2 linked regions of the Arabidopsis thaliana genome follow. The protein of the gene in region 2 interacts with the protein of the main gene of each other region in a biochemical or structural test. Each region holds a gene or a part of one and is shown on either strand. Other genes may lie near its edges. The genes, in order: RD21A and LOG2.

Region 1 (3,600 bases), on a different chromosome or scaffold from region 2:
TAGTTCCCCTTAGGCTAGGAGCGTTAGTTGTGTCTCAATGTTTTTGGCCATATGTACACTAGCGTGTAATAAAGTTCTAAAATACTAATTAATGATTCGTTATTCAGTCATATTATACGTTTCACATTAATACTTTTTATTGAATGTATAAATTCCAATATCGTCATCAGTGTATCTCTACACGCAAAACTATTGTTGAGTTTTTTCTTTTCCAAAACTCTAAATTACAATATTATTTTTTTTATTTTGATAAGTATAATATTCGATGTCACTTGAATATAATAATTTTTATTAATTCTCTGACGAAAAAAAGAGAGCAAGTGTTCTATTGTCACAAGCTAACTCTTGAAAGCATTATATTAAAGAAGTTTGAGTAAAATGAATAAATTATAGAAAATATTTTGAGTCTTTTAATTTCGGAAGGAATCATAATAATAGAGACAACAATCTAATTTCATAATGGTAACTTGTAAGACTTTAGATTCTATATTATCAAAAACTCATAAGAATCTCGAGTTACATGTAACAATCCTATCCACGCGTCTTTTACAATACGTGAGAACACGCGCTCCTATTTGTGTGGACATTTTATTTTTGGCTTGCCAATTAGAGATCAGTGACGTCTCATCTCTTCCTACCCATATTGTCTAACCAATAATTGACCATCACATATTCACATTTATAGATTTCATCTTTACACTATTGTTTTTTTTTTCACTTATCAAAATATCTCAACCGACCCTGAAATTAATTAGGATTTTTAAATCGGATTTTGGCTCAAGTTTTTGTTTTTGAATATTTAAGAAAATAAATACAATTAAGTATAAGTTTAGAGATGATTTGTTCATTTATTTGAAGTTTTTGATTTTTTTTTTCTTATTAAAATGACAAAAAGAATGATTTGAGTTCTTTTCTTTTTTGGCTCAAGATTTATTTTGGCCCACTTTTCTTTTCAATATTATTAAGAAAACTTGACTCATAAATTTTTGTTGGGAAAAAGAGGAAATGAGAAAAGGGATAATAATAACAAACAAAAAAATGATTTGATGTTGGTTTGGGTTCCCTCTTTTTAGTTCAAATATAACATGAGTAATAGTGGTAAATGTACATTATTTGAAAAATTGTAAATAATGCACTATTTACTATTTATTATCTGATTTGCTACTCTTTTTTTTTTCAGTTTCAATTATAGTTCAACATGGAGTTATTTTTTTGTCAAACCCCATATGATATCTTATCTACAAAGAAGCCCATAAATCACTTATCTTCATTTATTTTAGATCCACTTATTTTTAATTCTTTTTTTCTGTTTTGATTCCGTTTCAACTTGTTGGATACATATAACTTTTATTGTTTCTCTATCGTATCAAAAAAATAATTTGGATTTTTCCTATCTTTTTTTTCTTCTAACATACGGATTTTTTCCTTTCCGAAATTGAACTTTCTAATAAAAAAATTCGGAACAAGTCACCATTATTTTAGAAAATTAAAAAGAGTGACGAACGAAAACATTAAAATAGAAAACTAACAATTATTACACTTATCTCATTTGGCTTTTATATATACCCCACCACCATCTCTTGTCCATCATACAATCGTCTTCTTCATCATTTTCTCTTCTTCTTCTCCAAGAAAACACTGAAGAAGAAATGGGGTTCCTTAAGCCAACCATGGCGATTCTTTTTCTAGCGATGGTCGCCGTTTCATCAGCCGTGGACATGTCAATCATCTCCTACGACGAGAAACATGGCGTCTCCACCACCGGTGGCCGTAGCGAAGCCGAGGTTATGAGTATCTACGAGGCATGGTTGGTGAAACACGGCAAGGCTCAGAGCCAGAACTCTCTTGTTGAGAAAGATCGACGGTTCGAGATCTTTAAAGACAATCTTCGTTTCGTCGATGAACATAACGAGAAGAATCTTAGTTATAGATTGGGTTTGACTCGTTTTGCGGATCTTACTAACGATGAGTATAGATCCAAGTATCTTGGAGCTAAGATGGAGAAGAAAGGTGAGAGAAGGACTAGCCTACGGTACGAGGCTCGTGTCGGTGATGAGCTACCGGAGTCTATTGACTGGAGGAAGAAAGGAGCCGTGGCTGAGGTCAAAGATCAGGGTGGTTGCGGTAAGTTTCTACTGGATCTAACCATCATTTTTAGTTACTCTTATCGTAGTATATCATTTTTTGATTCAATCATAAAGTTTTGAAACTTTTGGAAAATGACATATTTGCCCCTTCCGGAAATTATGGGTGTTAGTTAGCAAGACAAAACTCAATAAATGAAATTAATAGTACTAATAATTTAACAAATCATCATGTGTATAGGTCATTAGTCATTACTTAATTAGAGACGTTGACTTATAGTCTAGTTATTTTTGCTTGTGAGCTATAGTTGTTTTGTCCTAAGCATAAAAATAAGGTTTTACTTGGTTACAGGCTCACAGCATTTCAAATGTGTACATTTTGGTTATGAATTTCAGTTATAAGGTTTATGAATGAATCTGATTAACTATAACATTAAATTTCGTAGTCATGATTATGTTAGAAATTGCACATTATTTTAGTCCTCCTTACAGAACATTGATATTAGAATATATGTGTTCCTGTTTGATGTTAATGTTTTGTTGTAAGCTGATGTTGTTGACACTTATGATTGGTAATGAAGGGAGTTGTTGGGCGTTTTCAACCATTGGAGCAGTGGAGGGAATAAACCAGATCGTAACCGGAGACCTAATAACCTTGTCTGAACAAGAGTTGGTCGATTGTGACACTTCATACAACGAAGGTTGTAACGGAGGTCTTATGGACTATGCTTTTGAGTTCATTATCAAGAATGGTGGAATCGATACAGACAAAGATTATCCTTACAAGGGTGTTGATGGAACTTGTGACCAGATCAGGGTAAGTACATTGGTTTTTGTTTTGACAAGGAATTACATTTGATTATTAACACAACTTATGATTCTTATATCAATCCTCTTGTGGGTTTCTTGTTACAGAAAAACGCTAAAGTTGTCACTATCGATTCATATGAGGATGTTCCAACTTACAGCGAGGAATCGTTGAAGAAAGCAGTTGCTCATCAACCCATTAGCATTGCCATTGAGGCTGGTGGTCGTGCGTTCCAGCTCTATGATTCGGTACAAATTTAACCATCTTCTCATAGTTCTTAGGTGTTTGTTAGTTTTTATGCATATAAATCCATTTCACTTCTGTTGTTAATTGTATACGCCAATTACAAACGAAAGGAGAAACTCTGTTTGGTGTTTGCGTTTACACTTTACAAAAGAATTCTATGAAAAATTGAAAAAAATGTTGCTAGTGTTTGAAAATGTAAAGTTTTATTCATATATAAACGCATGAAACAATTGCATCTAATAGGTGGTTGAATATTAAGTAGCTTTTCACTATTTTTGGTCTCAAAATGTTCATATTGTTGTTAGTCACCTTTGTCTCTAATGTGTTGATGTGATCTTTTCATCTGAAGGGTATATTTGATGGAAGTTGTGGAACACAACTAGACCACGGAGTTGTGGCGGTTGGATACGGAACTGAGAACGGCAAAGATTACTGGATTGTGAGAAACTCATGGGGTAAAAG
Region 2 (4,152 bases):
CATATATATATTTGTTCCACTCAAATACAAATCTTGTTAGGGTAACATCACCTCTGAGGAAACGACAAAATGAAGTTAATGAAAGTATTTGGCTTTAGATGGATTCGTAGATAGTACGTGACACGTTGCTGATATGCGGACTTCAGATAAATTATCGGCTAGTATCATAAAGATAATGTAAGGGTCTAAGCATACTCACTAATTAACGAAATATCTTCTTAGAAACACCTGAGCTCGATCTATTTCAATCATAGTGACTCAAACCTAAGAAAATCTTTGACATATGTATATTACATTAGTGTTCCAAGAAGATGCTACGTTCGACGTCATATTTGTTATCCTGTAAATTATAACAAAGATGCATCAACATTCAACAGAGAACAAAGTTTAGTTTTTATATATATATATATGTCACGATCATAGGTCTACATAACTATAAATTGATACAATTGATTTTACAGATTTTACACAACATATGTATCCAACTTGATGATATATCCGGTCTGCCGTTTCCCACTATATATAGAGTATTTTATAATTGATTCCCATTTATTTTTCTTAGTTTATATATGTTCGTCTTTTGGAATTGCTTAATGAAAGTGTGTGCGAGTGGTTAGGTATGCGATTCTATTATGTCTCTTTATTTATTTTTGATTTCGAATCGCACCACTACCTTCGTATGGGAATGTTTCAATATGATATCTATCTGTATATGATCACGAATATAATTTGATTTTGATCAAAATCAACATGTAATATAATTTCACGTAATATCAAACATCCAATAGTTACAGTTTAATCTGGCTACTGAATATATATATATATATATATATATATCTTCCTTTGAAAGAATGTTTATATATTTTTATTCTTTGTGACGTTTTTTTTAGCTAATGGTGATCTCTTGACTCTAAATTCATACAAATTTTTTAAAAAATTAGCTTAGGGTTTTGAAAATATAAAAACTCTTTTAGGGCTTATGTTTTCTTTTTGGTCAACGGAGCTTATGCTTTTGTAGAAACACTAATTTTTAAGACATTAAAGTATACATCAGTTTTGTTTTGTGTTTTGGGTTAAACTTATACACAATTATTCAAAGACGACAAAACAAGTTTAAATATGAATTCCAAAATACCAGTTCATCTTTTCGGACTACTGTATATAAGAATATTATGTTGGCAAAAAGTAGGTTTATTATAGGTTAAAAATAAAAATAAAGTATAGCCTACTTTGTTAGGAATACATATTAAACTTCACACTAATTACTAGTAGATATTTAGGCAATATAAGTCTAGAAGCGGAAAGTAGACAATGCCTATTGCCTAGTATACATTTCGGACAGCACAAGTGACTTTTAACTCTTTAATCACACAGAAGACAGAACTATGCAATGATCGACAACTTCTTCACTCTGTAAAATATTTGGATTTCTCAATTAATGGTTTCTGAAAATAACATCATCTTTTTAAAGCATGAACAAATTAATCCTAATGTAGACCTAAATAAAAATCTTAAGACCATCTTTATCAGTAAAAACAAGGAAAGATTCTAAAAAAAAATAAAAATAATATTTTAATTAAAACAGATACATTAATTATTATTTAATAATTGAATTAATAGTATGATGACACTTGTCCAAATTGGATGAGAATAGTTTCTCAAAGTTTCTCGGAAGAGAAATTCAACTCTCCTTCTCTTCTACTTTTTTTTCCTTCTATCATACTTTTTCTTCTTTAATTATTTTTTTTTTTTATTGGGTATCTTATTGAGATACTTCAAATGGAGATGCTCTAATAATTAATGGGAATGTGTTTCTAATTAAAAAGATAACATCTTTCTTTCTATATTTTTGTCGTCATATAACACACCTCAACTCTTTTAAGTACTCGTGTTGAATTTTGTTTTTTGAAAAGACAAAACTCCTTATAATCAACGTAATTATTAATAACAAGGAGAAAAAAAGTCCAAAGAAAAAAAAAAGAAAGCTTTTTGGGAACATAAACACCATCGAAGGAGGGTGGGAGGTGTTTTATGTTCATGGGTGGAGCTTCTTGGCCAACCTGACCCCATTCATCATATCATTACCCACTTTCTTCTCCTAAATTATTCTCTCTTATCTCTCTCTCTCTCTTTTTATTTTCTTTCTTTCTTAATTCATCTAAACTCTCTCTGCTTTTGCTTTTCGTAATTCCTTACATTTCACTCAATATTAATCCCCAGAATCTCCGATCCACCCACAAATTTAGCAATTTTCTGAGATTTGATCATTTGGGTCACCAAAAAATCTTGTCTTTTTGATCTGGGTTTAACGCCAATAACATATGGGAAACATTAGCAGCAGCGGTGGTGAAGGTAGACGCCGTCGACGGCGAAACCATACGGCGGCTCCACCACCACCTCCTCCTCCTCCTTCTTCTTCTCTTCCTCCACCACCTCTACCTACAGAAATCCAAGCTAATCCCATCGTTTTCGCTGCCGTTACTCCCTATCCTAATCCTAATCCTAATCCGGTTTACCAGTACCCTGCTTCTTACTACCACCATCCTCCCCCGGGAGCCATGCCTCTTCCGCCGTACGACCACCACCTCCAACATCATCCACCGCATCCTTACCACAACCACTCTTGGGCTCCCGTGGCGATGGCCAGATACCCTTATGCTGGTCACATGATGGCTCAACCGACTCCTTACGTTGAACACCAGAAAGCCGTCACGATTCGTAACGACGTTAATCTCAAGAAGGAGTCTCTTAGGCTTGAACCCGACCCGGATAATCCGGGTCGCTTTCTCGTCTCCTTTACGTTTGATGCAACCGTCTCCGGAAGGTAGATTTCACTTTCTCCCTTTCGTTGATTTCGTGATCCATTTGAGCAGATAACACGTGAATTTTGTTGTGTTCTTCCTCGTGACTATGTAATTTGGATCTTCTTATTGCAATTTGATCAAATCTTCTTCATGTGTAATTGAATTAAGCTTATGTTATTATGTTGGACTTGTGAAAAATAGGATTAGTGTCATTTTCTTTGCTAAAGAATCCGAAGATTGCAAACTCACAGCGACAAAGGAAGATATACTGCCACCTATCACTCTAGATTTCGAGAAAGGACTTGGTCAGAAGTTTAAACAATCATCTGGTTCTGGTATAGACTTTTCGGTCTTTGAGGACGTTGAGCTGTTCAAAGCGGCCGCAGACACAGAGATCTATCCATTAGCGGTTAAGGCAGAAGCAGCTCCCTCAGGTGGTGAGAATGAAGAAGAAGAAAGGTCGGGGTCGAAGAATGCGCAGATTACTCAAGCGGTTTATGAGAAGGATAAAGGAGAGATTAAGATTAGAGTGGTGAAGCAGATACTATGGGTTAATGGAACGAGATATGAGTTGCAGGAGATTTATGGGATTGGGAATACAGTTGAGGGGGATGATGATTCAGCTGATGATGCTAATGATCCTGGTAAAGAATGTGTTATATGTTTGTCTGAACCACGAGACACCACTGTTCTTCCATGTCGACATATGGTAAGTGAAAGCTGATGATTTACTACTATTATGTGATGATGGACATATATATAGATGTTAAAAATTGTTTGGGTTTGGTGGTGCAGTGTATGTGTAGCGGATGTGCTAAGGTATTGAGGTTTCAGACAAATCGATGCCCCATTTGCAGGCAACCTGTTGAAAGGCTTTTGGAGATAAAAGTTCACGGTAACAACGGAAGCGGGAATAACACCGGACAGGGAGAAACAGTTGAACAAGAGTAGCTAAACACGGCCGAGTATGGATTGAAATGCCATCGAAATATTAGTAGTATATGCATGTTTGATCCTTGTATGTTAACAACAAAATGTGTGATTGTCAATTCATAATATAGAGATTACGAAATCATTTGGAGTCATAATGACACAATACTTGAAACATTCTTCATTAGATACAACAACAAAGTAGGCAGTTTCTTACTTAGCTAGTTGCTCAACCGGAAGTTGCAGTGGCAGGTGAAGCCATTTTAGTTGCAATAAGACAGAAACTTAAACATGGAAAACACGAGATATAGTAGCGGCAACATGACATTCAATTATATAGCTGACCCCTTCGTTTCTTATTTAAAAGGGGCAATCTCCAACGTTTTGTGGTCAAATGGGCCTGCATTTCTTTTTATCC

What was found.
Region 1: of the proteins of LOG2 (region 2) and RD21A, one has a biochemical effect on the other in vitro, tested with the Arabidopsis thaliana proteins (one study listed by BioGRID).

The regions. Positions count from the first base shown.
Region 1 is NC_003070.9:17,283,659-17,287,258, reverse strand, and holds the start of RD21A (Granulin repeat cysteine protease family protein), read left to right. Parts: upstream 1-1,509; 5' UTR 1,510-1,649; coding exon 1,650-2,124; intron 2,125-2,665; coding exon 2,666-2,901; intron 2,902-2,999; coding exon 3,000-3,140; intron 3,141-3,487; coding exon 3,488-3,600.
Region 2 is NC_003074.8:2,996,005-3,000,156, reverse strand, and holds LOG2 (RING/U-box superfamily protein), read left to right. Parts: upstream 1-1,901; 5' UTR 1,902-2,321; coding exon 2,322-2,824; intron 2,825-3,005; coding exon 3,006-3,513; coding exon of another isoform or gene 3,514-3,528; exon of another isoform or gene 3,529-3,599; coding exon 3,600-3,755; 3' UTR 3,756-3,978; downstream 3,979-4,152. UniProt on the Arabidopsis thaliana protein: Acts as an E3 ubiquitin-protein ligase, or as part of E3 complex, which accepts ubiquitin from specific E2 ubiquitin-conjugating enzymes and then transfers it to substrates (in vitro).